Saccharomyces cerevisiae S288C: one gene and its partner. The protein of the gene in region 1 interacts with the protein of each later gene in a pairwise test. Each region holds a gene or a part of one and is shown in the gene's direction. Other genes may lie near its edges.

The links. The genes of interacting proteins can lie anywhere in the genome.
Region 2: the proteins of DFP1 (region 1) and COS8 interact in a protein complementation assay, tested with the Saccharomyces cerevisiae proteins (one large-scale study listed by BioGRID).

The regions. Positions count from the first base shown.
Region 1 is NC_001133.9:176,014-183,081, reverse strand, and holds DFP1 (DUP240 family protein), read left to right. Parts: upstream 1-3,261; coding exon 3,262-3,801; downstream 3,802-7,068. Other genes in the region: seripauperin PAU7, read left to right, coding at 6,059-6,226.
Region 2 is NC_001140.6:2,314-9,951, forward strand, and holds COS8 (Cos8p), read left to right. Parts: upstream 1-4,087; coding exon 4,088-5,233; downstream 5,234-7,638. Other genes in the region: YHL050C (uncharacterized protein), read right to left, coding at 358-998; YHL049C (uncharacterized protein), read right to left, coding at 1,413-2,228; YHL048C-A (uncharacterized protein), read right to left, coding at 3,350-3,484; ARN2 (siderophore transporter), read right to left, coding at 6,038-7,638.

The DNA.
Region 1 (7,068 bases):
TTAGCCAATTCTCAGCAACAAATCTAAATAGCAATTGCTCTTTTTAATTAATGGTTTACAGTTGTGATGCAACGCAATCCTTTTTCTTATAATTGGTTTACATATTTTATCACTGAAAATAATGTTGTATTACGGGCTCGAGTAATACCGGAGTGTCTTGACAATCCTAATATAAACAGTCTTAGGGAAGTAACCAGTTGTCAAAACAGTTTATCAGATTAATTCACGGAATGTTACTTATCTTATATATTATATAAAATATGAATCATACTAAGTGGTGGAAGCGCGGAATCTCGGATCTAAACTAATTGTTCAGGCATTTATACTTTGGGTAGTTCAGCTAGGGAAGGTCGGGTTTTGTCTCATGTTGTTCGTTTTGTTATAAGGTTGTTTCATATGTGTTTTATGAACGTTCAGGGTGACGTATTGTCATACTGACATATCTCATTTTGAGATACAACAAATAACATACAATTTTGGCAACTTGGCCGAGTGGTTAAGGCGAAAGATTAGAAATCTTTTGGGCTTTGCCCGCGCAGGTTCGAGTCCTGCAGTTGTCGTTATTTTTTTTTACTGATGATATTTCACCTCTTCAAAGCATACTCATCTTCAACTCGGATTCAACACGAGAAAGAATTATTTAAATCGGTACAAAGCAATACACTATTCAAAATCCTATCGTTTCCCAATTGTGTTGTGCGCGCGTTATTCTGCGATTCCGTGTAAGTGCATAGAGTAGGTTGTTGCAATAAAAAATGTCTCTAAATAGCAGGCCGACAGACATAACCAAATGATTTCCGTGAACAACCTCAAATTTTCAGGCTTTGAACGTGATTTTCCCAAACCCTGTAACTTGATGTGTAAATTTAAAATGGAATTGGCATGCCAGCTATCATCCCTTAGTGCTTTCAGTCCGAGAGTCTCCATATGTCTGACTTCACGACCTAATTGAACCGGCGCCCATTTCTGGGACATCAGCACTTGCGGTGCTGTTCCAAATAATATCTAAGGTAAGTTTAATGGCCCAGCCCGATCGTGAACGTTAAAGAAAGCATACGTCAAAATATTGGTACCTTATAAGAGTAAAAAAATGCTGTTTCATCTCGTTTGGTAGAGTATATATAAAAAGAGCGGTTTCTGAATTGTTGAAATTTGAACTGTTCAAGATTTACTTAGTAGTATGAACCTGCAGGGATCATCCAGAAACAAAATGCTGTAGCTTCTTCTCTGAATTGTATTTCTTTACAAAGAGCTTTGCTATTTTGCCTTGAAACAGCATATCTCATGGCGAGCGCTTCCATAGCGCTTGAAGCAGACCAAAGCAACATGCTGGAAGACCAGATTCCTAGACTATTCATGTACATCTCTACATAGTATGATCGACTTCGGGATTTTTTATTCCTTACTACGTGGTTTTTACGATGGCATGATCAAATTCTGTGAAGCTGTTTTGTCTGTCAGTGGGATCGTGCATTGTACTCAGTTAGAAGTGCGTTTGGAGCTTTGTAACATGGCACAAGTGAAGTGAAAGACGCCCTTTATAGAAAGGAGAGTTAGCTAATGTAGAAGTACAGCTGGTGATAAGAAAACGCTGATGCAGAATCAGGAAAGTGTTCTCGTTGTATTTTCCAAGTCTACTTGATTTTACAGTTAACGTAATATTCTTTATTATGTAGTGGTAAGAAATACTCAAACCGTAGGAAGCGGACTTGAGTTTGTTTTTATCTTCAGAGTATATGCATCCACGAAACACACCCTCATTGGTATAATGTTGGTACTTTCATTCCTACGTAGATTATGAAGTATAGGAGGAAAAAGAAAAAATAATGGTTGCTAAGAGATTCGAACTCTTGCATCTTACGATACCTGAGTATTCCCACAGTTCACTGCGGTCAAGATATTTCTTGAATCAGGCGCCTTAGACCGCTCGGCCAAACAACCACTTATTTGTGATATTTGGGTCACAATGTTTTAACTATTTGGACACTGACTTGTTATTAGCTGATCGCTAATTCAAACACATGGTTATATAAAGCATTCTTTCTGAAGAGACACCCAAAAAATAAGTACAGCATGGAAGTAATTATCATGCGTGTACGTGTTCTACTACATATTTTGCTATTCGGCATTGTAATGGGAAGTGATTCATAGGTGGCTGCCCCATTTTCAACGAGGGTAAAGTTTATAACTTTTTGTCTGGTCGTCCTCTTAGCTATACAACATCGTTATTGTTTAGGTATTATCCAACAATTAGGACACAGGCGTGAATAGTTTTATTAACAAATATAAAGTTAGCAATCGGCCAGTAAAAGTTTTAACGCAGGGACATCTCAGTAAATAAGTCATGCCTATGGTCCTCATCTAAATTTCGAAAAGAGACTGTGTTACGTATTATTCGCGAAGAACAATGATGATATATATCTGGCGATTTTACGGCCATTATCAGCGGTAAAACACCCAAGGTGTTGACTAAGTGATGGAGTCTGCGGTGGACAAGTGTTACTTTTGCTATACTACTAATCCAGCATTCCGTGATCATAGTTTAAATGCGCTGGCGTATTGGGAGCTCTTTGATACAACGAGAAGTCAGACATCAGCTCGCCGAAGCGTCCTAACAGTAACTAACTAACAATAAGCCTTAATGTAGTCCTCTTCCATATTCAATCTACTCTATATTCCGCTGGAGACCTGCTCACTCAATAGATCAGAAACACTCTTATATCCAAAAATACACAGGTACGAAAAATCTCGATCGAGAAATTCAAGGAAATAGAATAATCCTACACACATAACATTAAAAAAAAAATCCCTACGACAGAACTTCCCAGTCTGCTTTTGATTTACTTTTAATAAATACAGATGTTTTTTCAGTACCTTTCATGTTCCCATCCTTGTTACGATATATACTTTCATCTGGGGGCGCTAAAGAAAGCGAAAAGCTATGTACGTACAGTTGAAAAAAAGGAAAATACCAATTGAGGTTTGAAATGTTCGACACATTCAAGTCTATTTTTCCTAAGCTATCAGGATAAGGTTTACTTGACTTGTAAGCAAAAGCAAGTTAAATCGTTTGTTAAACATGCAATCTTATTTAAAAAAAACACTCATGTCACGGACGATCCTAAAGCAATCCCATTGAGGGAAGGATCTCCTGACAACCCTGAAAGTCCTTTAATCTCAGCTGATATCGTCCTTCCAGAGGATGAGTTTGCATCATACCAGAGTTATTTGCTTTACGAAATTGTACGCGCCAAGTATATAATGATCAATTTCCTCCTTTTTGTCTTGACGATTTTGGCGACTTTAACAAACATTTGGTTTTCTGGTGTTCTCTCCCCTGCCATGGTGATCCGGATATGTTTAGGTGGCTCTATGGTAGTCCTTCAGATATGGTCATTCAGTAGACCAATAAGTAATGAAACATTCCGTACAAAACTTCTACTAGAGGTAATAACTCATAGACCATCGATAGCTGGGAAAGAATGGAAAACCATAACGTATAACATGAATCAATATTTGTTCAAGGCTGGCTTATGGAAAACACCATACCACTTTTTTTGTGAACACCAGTGCTATGAATTTTTCAAGGATCTCATAAAGGGAAAATATCCTGATGTACAGTGGGATACAGCGAATACACAGCCGTTCATCAGTGTTCCAGAAAATCAGGCTGCAACTCAAAATTCTGATGTTGAACCAACCGTAAAGTGGTGCCTCTTTAAAGCAGCCGAAATTCAAGCCCATGCTGTGCGGGAATATTGGCAAAGTCAATATCCAGATGTGGGCATACCTGCAATATGAGTAGAGTTTACGTATCTAATATATTGGTATAAAAAGAACGCATCTTTTTTTTTTTGGGCTGTTCTGGGCTCCAGGAAGTCATAAATTGTGGGTACGCTTTAGATGTGTTTGCAATATTTGCAACTGCTCTCCCAAAAAAAATTAGCATTGCAAGATATTGAATAACTGGGTCGTCCCGAAGCAACAGTGGGGAAATAGTTTACGAGTTTTGTTCAAGTTAAAAGCATTTTTTGTTGTGAAGAGAATAAACTTGATTTCGAAGGAGATCAAATTCGAAATAATCTGCGAATTTATTATGATCGACTAGGCAACGAAGACGCAGTTTTCTATTAAATCTGTGCGTTTGAGTAACTTAACTGACTATAATATCGCAATCTTAACATCATTAAACAATGTAAAAGAGGTCATACGCTATAAGAAGTTGATTTGATCCCCCGTGGATTTTGAAAAATGTCAAGATCAGCATATTGACCCATGTTTTTCCGCTCAATCCAGTCTATCAATCATTTTTCAACAAGGATAACCATAACATTCACCCACCATGCTTTGGTTCATAAGATATACGGGGAGATCAGCAACTCTTCAACTTATTGAACATGTTGAGAGCAGGATTAAATAATCAATGTCCTGTGATTGCAACATCTATCATGCCTGACGTTTCTCGAACGATACAATCTACAATTTAATGAGCCATTTTAGCATATTAACGAGGGCTGCATGAGGATCGAATGGACAAAAGTGTTTTCAGGCATGGGAGAATGGGATGCTTATAGAGGAGTTTAACCATGAAATTAAATGATTCTCCAGCAAGAAAAAAAAAACTCCTGACTCAGTTCATGTGGCGGGAAATTTCTCTCATTGTCTCCCCCTGCAGCGCTACTAATCTTAAAGGTAGTGGTGGCTTCGACATTATATCGTTGGTTCAGGTTGTCCGATCACTAATGATCTGTTACTTTATTGCTATGTTATGTGTCAAAAGGTGATATCCCCATTTTTACTGATCGCAGTAATATTTTAACCTGCCATGGTTAAATTGTTTATTGTCATTGAGTTGAGCACTTTTTCATTGCACTGTAGTTGTTGCGTATTTCAGACTTACTCTTATAGTGACGCTAACAGGAGGTCTGGCTCTTAATACAAGGACGTCGTAATATTCTGTTCACCGGACTCGAAAGCAAGAAGGAAAAAAGCACATTGTAGCCTTTTCAAAAACCTATCTTTTGGTACTAATTTATGGCGGCCCATACAGAGAGCTACCCTAAGAAATAGTTCGCATTCGTATATGAACTTCGGCTTTGAATATTGCGGATTCGTGCACAATACAAGACTTCTGTCGTTCCATGTCATCTATTGCGCGATTATTTTTTCACCAATTCCTTTCATTTCTAGTGGTTTCAAGGCGCAAGATTAATCTTAGATTTTACCTCCATCAAAAGCTCGGTAATTGGCACGTCATTTTACTATATGGCCTCAACAACATCGCTATACAGATTTGGGCGCCCTACTTAGCGAGACTTCCTACATTTGGAAATTACCCTAAAGGCATATTCTCTTCATGTAATAGCTCGCACAATGTAACCCGATTCAATTGATGCCCCAGTCGTCATTTATGTACAAGCATATCTACGCTGGCTCTGAGACTTGTGTTGTCCAAACAAGAACCCCCATCATATCTAGCGTGAGTATCAAATGGTTGGCAATAGTTTGTGTGGTCTGATTATTTACGTACAGCTCCCCTTTTTGTGTGCATATTCCTGCAGATGCGACTCTAAGAGCTCACACTTAATTTTTCATTGTTTCTAATTTGGGAAAAGTCCGATTTCCCTCCTACTAACCGTTTAGTGCCAAGGGTGAGATGGCCCTTGAACGAGGGCCCAAAATAAATTTGGCTTTGGTTCTATTTCTTGGCCAAAACTGCAGCTGCAGCCCTATAGGCACTTTTCCTGTAGAGAACATTCTTGTGCTATGGAACATATGAAAGGATGGGGCATAAAAAAACGGCTTCCTATACGAAGTATAGCATCGTTCAAGAACAACCCGTCCCCATAGTAATAATGACTTAGTCGCTAAGTGGAATGTGGAAGGCATGAGTGTGAGATGGGCGACCAGTAAGAGCCCATGTGTGCAGATGTAGTTGTTCAAAGTTTCATATAAATACAGCGGCTTGATCAGCTTTGTTTGAGACATTTCTCTGTTCTTTTCCTTCCAGTTAAGCCTATATCATCACTAAGCAATAACCCAAAAAACAACAAATACAATGGTCAAATTAACTTCAATCGCTGCCGGTGTCGCCGCCATTGCTGCTGGTGCCTCCGCCGCAGCAACCACTACATTATCTCAATCTGACGAAAGAGTTAATTTGGTTGAATTAGGTGTTTATGTTTCCGATATCAGAGCTCATTTGGCTGAATACTACTCTTTCTAAGCTGCTCACCCAACTGAAACTTATCCAGTTGAAATTGCAGAAGCTGTTTTCAACTACGGTGATTTCACCACCATGTTGACTGGTATTCCCGCCGACCAAGTTACCAGAGTTATCACTGGTGTTCCATGGTACTCCAGCAGATTAAAGCCAGCTATCTCTAGTGCTCTATCCGTAGACGGTATCTACACTATCGCAAACTAGAGTCCCTGCTTTACGAATGAAACCTGTACAGGTATGAGAGGTTACGAAAAAAAATGATAAATGAAAAAAAAAAAGCTTAATAATATGAAATTAATAGTATGAATAGTTAGGCGCATGTATATAAATATAAATTTTTGTATATATGTATTATTAATATTATAAATTTCTTATTATTAAACCATCCTTTACGGAAATAACGGCCTATTCCCTTAGTATTTTGTTGTAGCTCGTGGAGTTATCCATTTTAAATGGATCTTGGGATAATTTTTACTGCTTCCCTCGTACTGGGAGCTTAATACACGTTCGTCTTGTTATCATCATAAATATGTGTTTATTATTCTCGCCTGGAAGGAAATCTTCAGTATAAATTCGTGAGGAATTTAGAATATAAATAATTCAATCATAAGAAAACATAAAAAGATCAAGTAAATAATAGAGGCATACAAGCATAACCAAATAGTACTATAAACAATTTTAAATTACACGTAAGAGATAATGGGTTATAAAGTATGTTTTTTTAAGCCATTACTGCAGCGTTCTTTATCATTATTTGAGTTCGAATGTGGAAAATGACGACTGAAATTTATAAGATAAAATATTCGAACTATATAGAAGAAAATTTTACACTCTTCGCCTTTGAA
Region 2 (7,638 bases), on another chromosome or scaffold:
CTCCCTACGCCTTGAATGAGCTCAATAATATTAAGTCTATTATCAAGCATGATCACCATCATCAATTGCTTAATGTCAATTCCTTCAGTCACTAATTTTGTTCCGATGAGAACTCGCATGCTACCGTCAGTGACAAACTCCTTTGTGCGAGACACCTTTTCTGCAGCACCCAGCTTCCCGTGTATCCATACCACCCTAAAATACTTTCTCCAAGAGCAGGCCAATTCTTCCACTTCGTTGGTTGTGCTTGCAACTACAATGGCCTTCGACTCTGGTTCACTTTCAAAGAGGGCTAAAAGAAGCTTCAGTGCTTCTTCGGGCTGTGATTCCACTTTCTTCCGAATTTTATGAACATGCCCTAAAGGCACCTTGGATTTCTCCTTGATTAGATTAAACATCCGTGTTGGATAGCTGGATAGACCTCTGCTGAGATCTTCCGACCGTTTGAGCTCGTTGATGTCCATCGACTTCTTGGCCAGTCCCGTAAGCCCAATACGCTGCAACGCAGCATCAGCAACAGCCTCAGGGGCTGTGCCGCTCAAAAAGATTGCTTTCTCAAAAGCGTCAAAATCAAGGTTAGTTATGCCCCCAAATTGCGACTGCCGGTAGACCTCCGTTTCAAAGTTGTGCAACTCATCTACAATGAGGTAACCCAATTTTACGTTGTTGGTCCTAAAGGTGCACTCAACAATATTCTCCCACGCAGCTATCCTGTCTGTGAAATTAGTGCTAGCAAGATCATCGTAGATCCCCACGTATAAATCAGTAACGCCATCGCAACCTTCTTCAATAAAGTTTCTTACAGGGGCCACATTCAAGCAACCGCATCGGCCCAACCTGATCATGCAATTAGCAAGCAACACTGTGTACGGTACAAACAGAAACGACACATATTCCACGTCGCCCTTAGACGCCAGTGCTATCAAGGGGAGATGAAATAACTCCGTCTTACCATAGCCCGGTGGGGCCTGTACTGCCACAGAGGGTGTGTCTGCCATGTATATTTCATGACATAAGCGCAACTGATGCAAGTCCCTGAATTCAAAGGAGCTGCCAAAGAGTTTCTGGCCTGCGACGAGGATATCGTTTGTACTCTTGGGCTCTCGGGGCCTTTTTCGCGTTACTCTTGAAATTTTTTGATCATGATCTGAACTCGCCGCCTCACCTGCCACTACGTCTTCCGCATTCCGAGTACTAGAGAATGAACAATGGTAGTCGCTTTCAAGGCCTAACCATTGAATCCAGCGCTCGGAAGTGAGTCCGTCAAGCGTCTTTAGTCGAGGCTCCGATGAACCGTTCTTGTTGTATCGTCGACGTATACGTTGCGCTGTAGCTCTGGATAACGGTAAGCGTATCACCGTAAGCTCGTCAATTATTTTTGAGAGCCGCGGTCATTTTGTTAGTATCTCTTCTCAACTTGGGCAGCACACATGCAAAACATCACCCAATCGGTCCTTTTTGTTCATCATATCGTTACATATCTGTGAAAAGTACTTTATCTCAGTGGGTTTACGTGGGCATAGATCACGCTTCAGCCGCTCTGTGTCGACTTTCTTTTCGCCAGGTAAACTTGCTTGGTATGCAGAAAAAATCGATAGCTCATCTACGTGTAGTAACAAAAACATGTGGGGTGCCAAATTGTACCCATATTTCCTTATGGTGCTTTTCTGAAGACTCCTTACAATAGGTGCGCCAGAAACAAAGTCAGTGAAAGTACGCATCGTAGAGCTGTCGTTCGGCCTGGCACTCGCTATTTCGTGACAACGTTCCAGGACACGGAAACTCAACTCATTATAGTATCCTCTGTTGAGGTAAAAAAGAGAAAGGGTATCGTAATCCTTTCTATTGAATTTCAAAGTATGCACTTGAAACAACGTGTAGACCATCAAGTTGATTTTCTTGGGAATAAGATACTTTGAAGGGATTGGTCCGCCCTGGAAATCTGGTTCGTCTTCAACAAACGTCAGGAACTTTTGTACATTTTTCCCGACCATGACGGAAACGACAATTTTTTCAAAAGACCTTTTCCTATCCATTGCACCAGTTCTGAATTTTACCACTTTGATTAGGCCAGACTTTTCGTCTTCGTAGAATGACCGCACTTCCGTGGGGATCGATTCAAATAAAGTTATTGAGGGACAATGTACCAAGTCGTTTTTGTTATTTAGAGCCGACTCAAACTCGTCAAAGTTTGCTTTTTCAAACTTACGCCTATCGGAAACTTTCATTTTATTTTTGTAAGTTTCGAAATTAACAATAGTATGTTGATTGTTATGCTTTTTGACAAGAAATCCATCAATATAAACAAAAGATTGTCCAGTTTCCGTCTTATCATCATCTAAGAATGTAATAATTAAGCTACTCTATTGAGAAGAAGCAGAATCTGCGCTATGCAGGTGCAAATCTCCAGCAGCAGCAAAGAAAATTCAGTTAATAAGAAATCTCACTAAGATAAGCGACTGTCTGTCCCAACATAGAAAACAGAAGGATGTCTCATTCATCGCTTGATTTCCGGCCTGCAAAAATAAAGCAGTCGGTACGTGCTTTCGTTTTCAATTTCCATGGTGCACAGTATCTTAACCGTCTGCTTAGTCGAGGAGAACCAGGATTCTGTTCGTTGCTCAGCCGCTTCGTGGATAAATTTTATTACCCCGCTGAGGTAGAGGAGCCCTTTTTGGCGTACCAAGTCACTTCCTAATGCTCCATGTCCCACCCACCATGTTGAAACGTTGACAAATGATCGTAAATAATACACACGTACTTACCCACACACACCACATGCCACACTCACTTGCACTTGTATACTGGTACGGCATACGCACACGGATGCTACAGTATATACCACTCTCAACTTACCCTACTTTCACATTCTACTCCACTCCATGACCCATCTCTCACTAAATCAGTACTAAATGCACCCACATCATTATGCACGGCACTTGCCTCAGCGGTCTATACCCTGTGCCATTTACCCATAACGCCCACGATTATCCACATTTTAATATCTATATCTCATTCGGCGGCCCCAAATATTGTATAACTGCTCTTAATACATACGTTATACCTCTTTTTCACCGTATACTAACCACTCAATTTATATACACTTATGCCAATATTACAAAAAAATCACCACTAAAATCACCTAAACATAAAAATATTCTATCCTTCAACCATAGTACATAAACACACTCAATTGCGTATCAATACCACCATGACGTCATTAACTTAAATGTTCCTTAATACCGTCATACCACTATGCTCTATTCCATATATTGTAATATAACTGTACTCTATAGTCATACAGACGCTTTTACTTCACCCTATCTTCTCATACTATTGTCATAGAATCTCACACTGACGCATGATTAAAACGAATAATTTTTACTATAAGGCCTCCCATCCGTGCTCTACCCTTTTGTTTGCAATATTTATACAGAATCTCAAAGCAAGCGGGAGAAGTGGTGATTACCCAGATGTCATGCATGATCTGAGCACCACCGTACCTCTAGGTTTTGCCTTGATCAATTTTACAGTGACACCAAGCATAAGGATAAAAAATGGTATTGAAAGGTTGTCCACATTTGTAAGTAACTTGGTTCTATGAATCTTCATGTCAGATACGTAGGACGGACTCTTTCCTGTGTAAATATTTGTGACAGCTACGTCTATTTTCTACTAGATGTTTACACAGTTTTGTCACAGGAAATCTACGCTTAAAATATGTATTTCATTCAAGCGGTAACCGCTGTACGAGCAGTGACATTGCTGGTCGCACCTTAAATGTAAACCAAAGTTACGGCACACCGTGATGCACCCGCATTAAAGTTTTGTAAATTCGTTATTACGATTATCGAGTTGGCTAGATAGAAAACCGGAAATGAAATGGATGCCCTTTTCGAATAGCTGAGTTTCTTTGCCTAAAATAGCCCAATATTGTTTCCCTTTTTCTATCACGAGGTTACTGAGCCATTGCATGAACGCGCGCGCCTCGGCGGCTTTTTTTTTCTGCTGTGCTGTATAAAAGCGAAAAGTCAGAAGTTACTATTTCGAATAAAAAACCCCTCGAACTGCCATCTCACTACCGAAAATGAAAGAGAATGAAGTCAAAGATGAGAAAAGCGTAGATGTGTTATCCTTCAAACAGCTCGAATTCCAAAAGACCGTTCTACCTCAAGATGTTTTCCGAAACGAATTGACCTGGTTTTGTTATGAAATTTACAAGTCTTTAGCGTTTCGCATCTGGATGCTGTTATGGCTACCACTTAGCGTCTGGTGGAAACTTTCCAGCAATTGGATTCACCCACTTATAGTTTCACTTCTTGTCCTGTTCCTGGGACCATTTTTTGTCCTTGTTATTTGTGGACTTTCTCGTAAGCGTTCCTTATCGAAACAACTCATTCAGTTTTGCAAAGAGATTACTGAAGACACACCAAGTTCGGATCCTCATGATTGGGAAGTCGTTGCAGCAAATCTAAATTCGTACTTCTATGAAAATAAGACTTGGAATACCAAGTACTTTTTTTTCAATGCCATGAGCTGCCAAAAAGCGTTTAAAACAACCCTTCTCGAACCCTTCTCTTTAAAAAAAGACGAATCTGCAAAGGTTAAGTCATTTAAGGATTCCGTTCCTTATATCGAAGAGGCCTTGCAAGTGTATGCTGCAGGATTTGACAAAGAGTGGAAGCTGTTTAATACTGAGAAGGAAGAGAGTCCTTTCGACCTGGAAGACATTCAGCTCCCCAAAGAAGCTTACCGATTTAAGCTTACCTGGATTCTTAAAAGGATTTTCAACCTGCGGTGTTTACCACTCTTCCTTTATTATTTTTTAATTGTCTACACGTCTGGAAATGCTGACCTTATATCACGTTTCTTGTTTCCGGTAGTAATGTTTTTTATCATGACGAGAGATTTCCAAAATATGAGGATGATTGTTTTATCCGTGAAAATGGAACACAAGATGCAGTTCTTGTCAACTATTATAAATGAGCAAGAAAGTGGTGCGAATGGATGGGACGAAATTGCAAAGAAAATGAATAGGTATTTGTTTGAGAAAAAAGTCTGGAATAATGAAGAGTTTTTCTACGATGGACTTGACTGCGAATGGTTTTTTAGGCGCTTTTTCTATCGTCTCTTATCTTTAAAAAAACCTATGTGGTTTGCTTCGTTGAACGTTGAGCTATGGCCATACATTAAAGAAGCGCAATCGGCCCGCAATGAGAAGCCCCTAAAGTAGGAACAAATGTTCCTTTTCCAAAATATACTATGTGTAGTTGATCGAATATCAGTAAGTCAAAACGTATTTTACTTGTTTATTATTATTAATACTCCTTTTCGCATATGTTTTATCACTTTACACCATACAATAACCACTAAATTCAAAAACACTTATTTTCAATATTTGTTATAGAAAAATAACCACTAAAATCACCTAAATATAAAAATATTCTACCCTTTAGCAATAAGACTGAAACACTTTACTTGGGGTAAGAATACTGCCATGGTGTCATTAACATGAAAGTTCAATAATGTTTTCATACTAATCAATATGTACACAGGCTTCACATTAGAACATCATATATTAAAGCGGTAACTTAAAATCCAGATAATACATTTTTGGTCATATAAGTGCTTTTTTTTTGTAGGATATAATCGCAAATGATATCACTACACTATGACATATTGTTGACGTAGTAAATTACGATTTAGCTTATATGTCATAATGTAGTAAGTTTATATATGTTATGTAAATGTAAGAATTACATAGGTACTGTTTTTGTACACAGAAGCTATAATTTCTCAAGTACTACCGGATTAGAGGTTTGCTACAATACGTTTTCCACTATATGTTTTCTATGTGTGAAACATTACTGAAACATTACTCATATTACGCTTTTGTGTTATCACATTAAACATATACATGGTAACAAATATTACTATCACTTATCTTGCTTCATCTTATGTACCATACAAAAATTACTGCGCATATCAGAGATCATTTTTTCGAACACATATCCTGTTGGGGTTTTGTAAATCTTTCTTATGACCTGCCTAAGGCCTTTGCAAAACGTTTCGCGATCCAGTCATTGATAGGATCATCTTCCTTGGTTTGGACATATTCTCTGTCAGGTAACTTTTGGGCAAAATCTTCAGTCAACCGAGGATCTCTTACGCAGAATGTTAGAAGGAACATAGGCGCTGAAAATACAAGCGCAACAATAACTTCGTATTTTTGAACGTGTCTGTAAGCTTCAACCATCGCAGACCTAACTGGAGTACCCCAGGGATTGGAAAGAATAAAAGTTAGTGGTGAGCCATATGCTGCTGTAGCCAGGTCAGCGTCTCCCATGTAGTGCAATAATTTAGGGTACAATGACTGCGTCCATATGGCACCGGAAATGGCAGCTGCAACTGCTCCACCTATTCTGAAAACTGTATAGTTTAATGCTGTGACAGTAGCCATATTCTCATGGGATGTTACCGACTGAATAGAAACAATTGTAGGATAATCGAATAAACAACTACTGAGACCCCAAATAACCATACCAGCAATTATACCTCCATCGGCGTCTTGACCTGACCTGTAGCGGTAAAATAGTCCCATAGTAATGAAATAAAGTGAGCCACCAAAAATAATATACGACTTCAATCTAGATGATCTCGTAACGATGAGCCCCAGAAATGGAGCAACAACAGCAGTCACAAAAGAGTATAAGTTTATTATTCTTGTAGCTGAGGAAGCGCTCTCATCTACCGCAACTACTAGAATGGTGTAGAGATACCCAGCAGCCATTTGATATACAAAGCAGATAAAAAACATAATTCCCAATGGGGCCCACACGCCACGATCTTTTAGCAGCTTGAATGGAGCGAAAGGAACCAAAGCAAGTCGACTTTCCCAATATATGAAGCCTGGAACCAGGACAAAGCCAAGCACAAAGGGCCCGATAATCTTTGAATTTCTCCAATTTGTAGAGACGCCACCAGCAAGAGTGAGTGGTACAAGAATACAACCAACACCAGCAGTAAACAACAACACACCGACAACATCTAGCTTCCAGAACAACTGTACCAGCATTTGTACTAATCCGTGCGTTTGATAGTACGATTTTTCATCCTGTAATTCTTTCCATTCCACGTCATTTCTTACTTTCCATCTCATATGGAGCATACACAAAATCAATGGGATACAGCATAGAGGGAAAATGAACGCCCACATAGCAATATTCCACGACCAGTTCTCTAACGGGTTTGCTGCCTCCACTACACTACCTGAGACCCACGTAGTGATAATCGAGGGCCATGAAGGTATCAATGTGTAAAATAGCCTCCATTTTAATGAAGAATTATCAGACAACATCAAAACAACCTGTAGCATAACACCGACAAGTCCCACATAATAAAAGACAGCTCCAGCAGCATACCTCTGGACATCATATGCTTGAGATTGAATTATTGTACCCACAATGTAAAGTACAATGGATACAAGAAACAACGTTAGCCTTCCAAAGATATCTGATAACCCTCCAAAGATCACCTGTGAAACAGCAGATATCATTAGAACTATGACGCTTACTGTAGAAATGAGAGAATGTGCGGAGTACGAGTTCATTGCGTAGGTCATATATGTACCCCTTATGC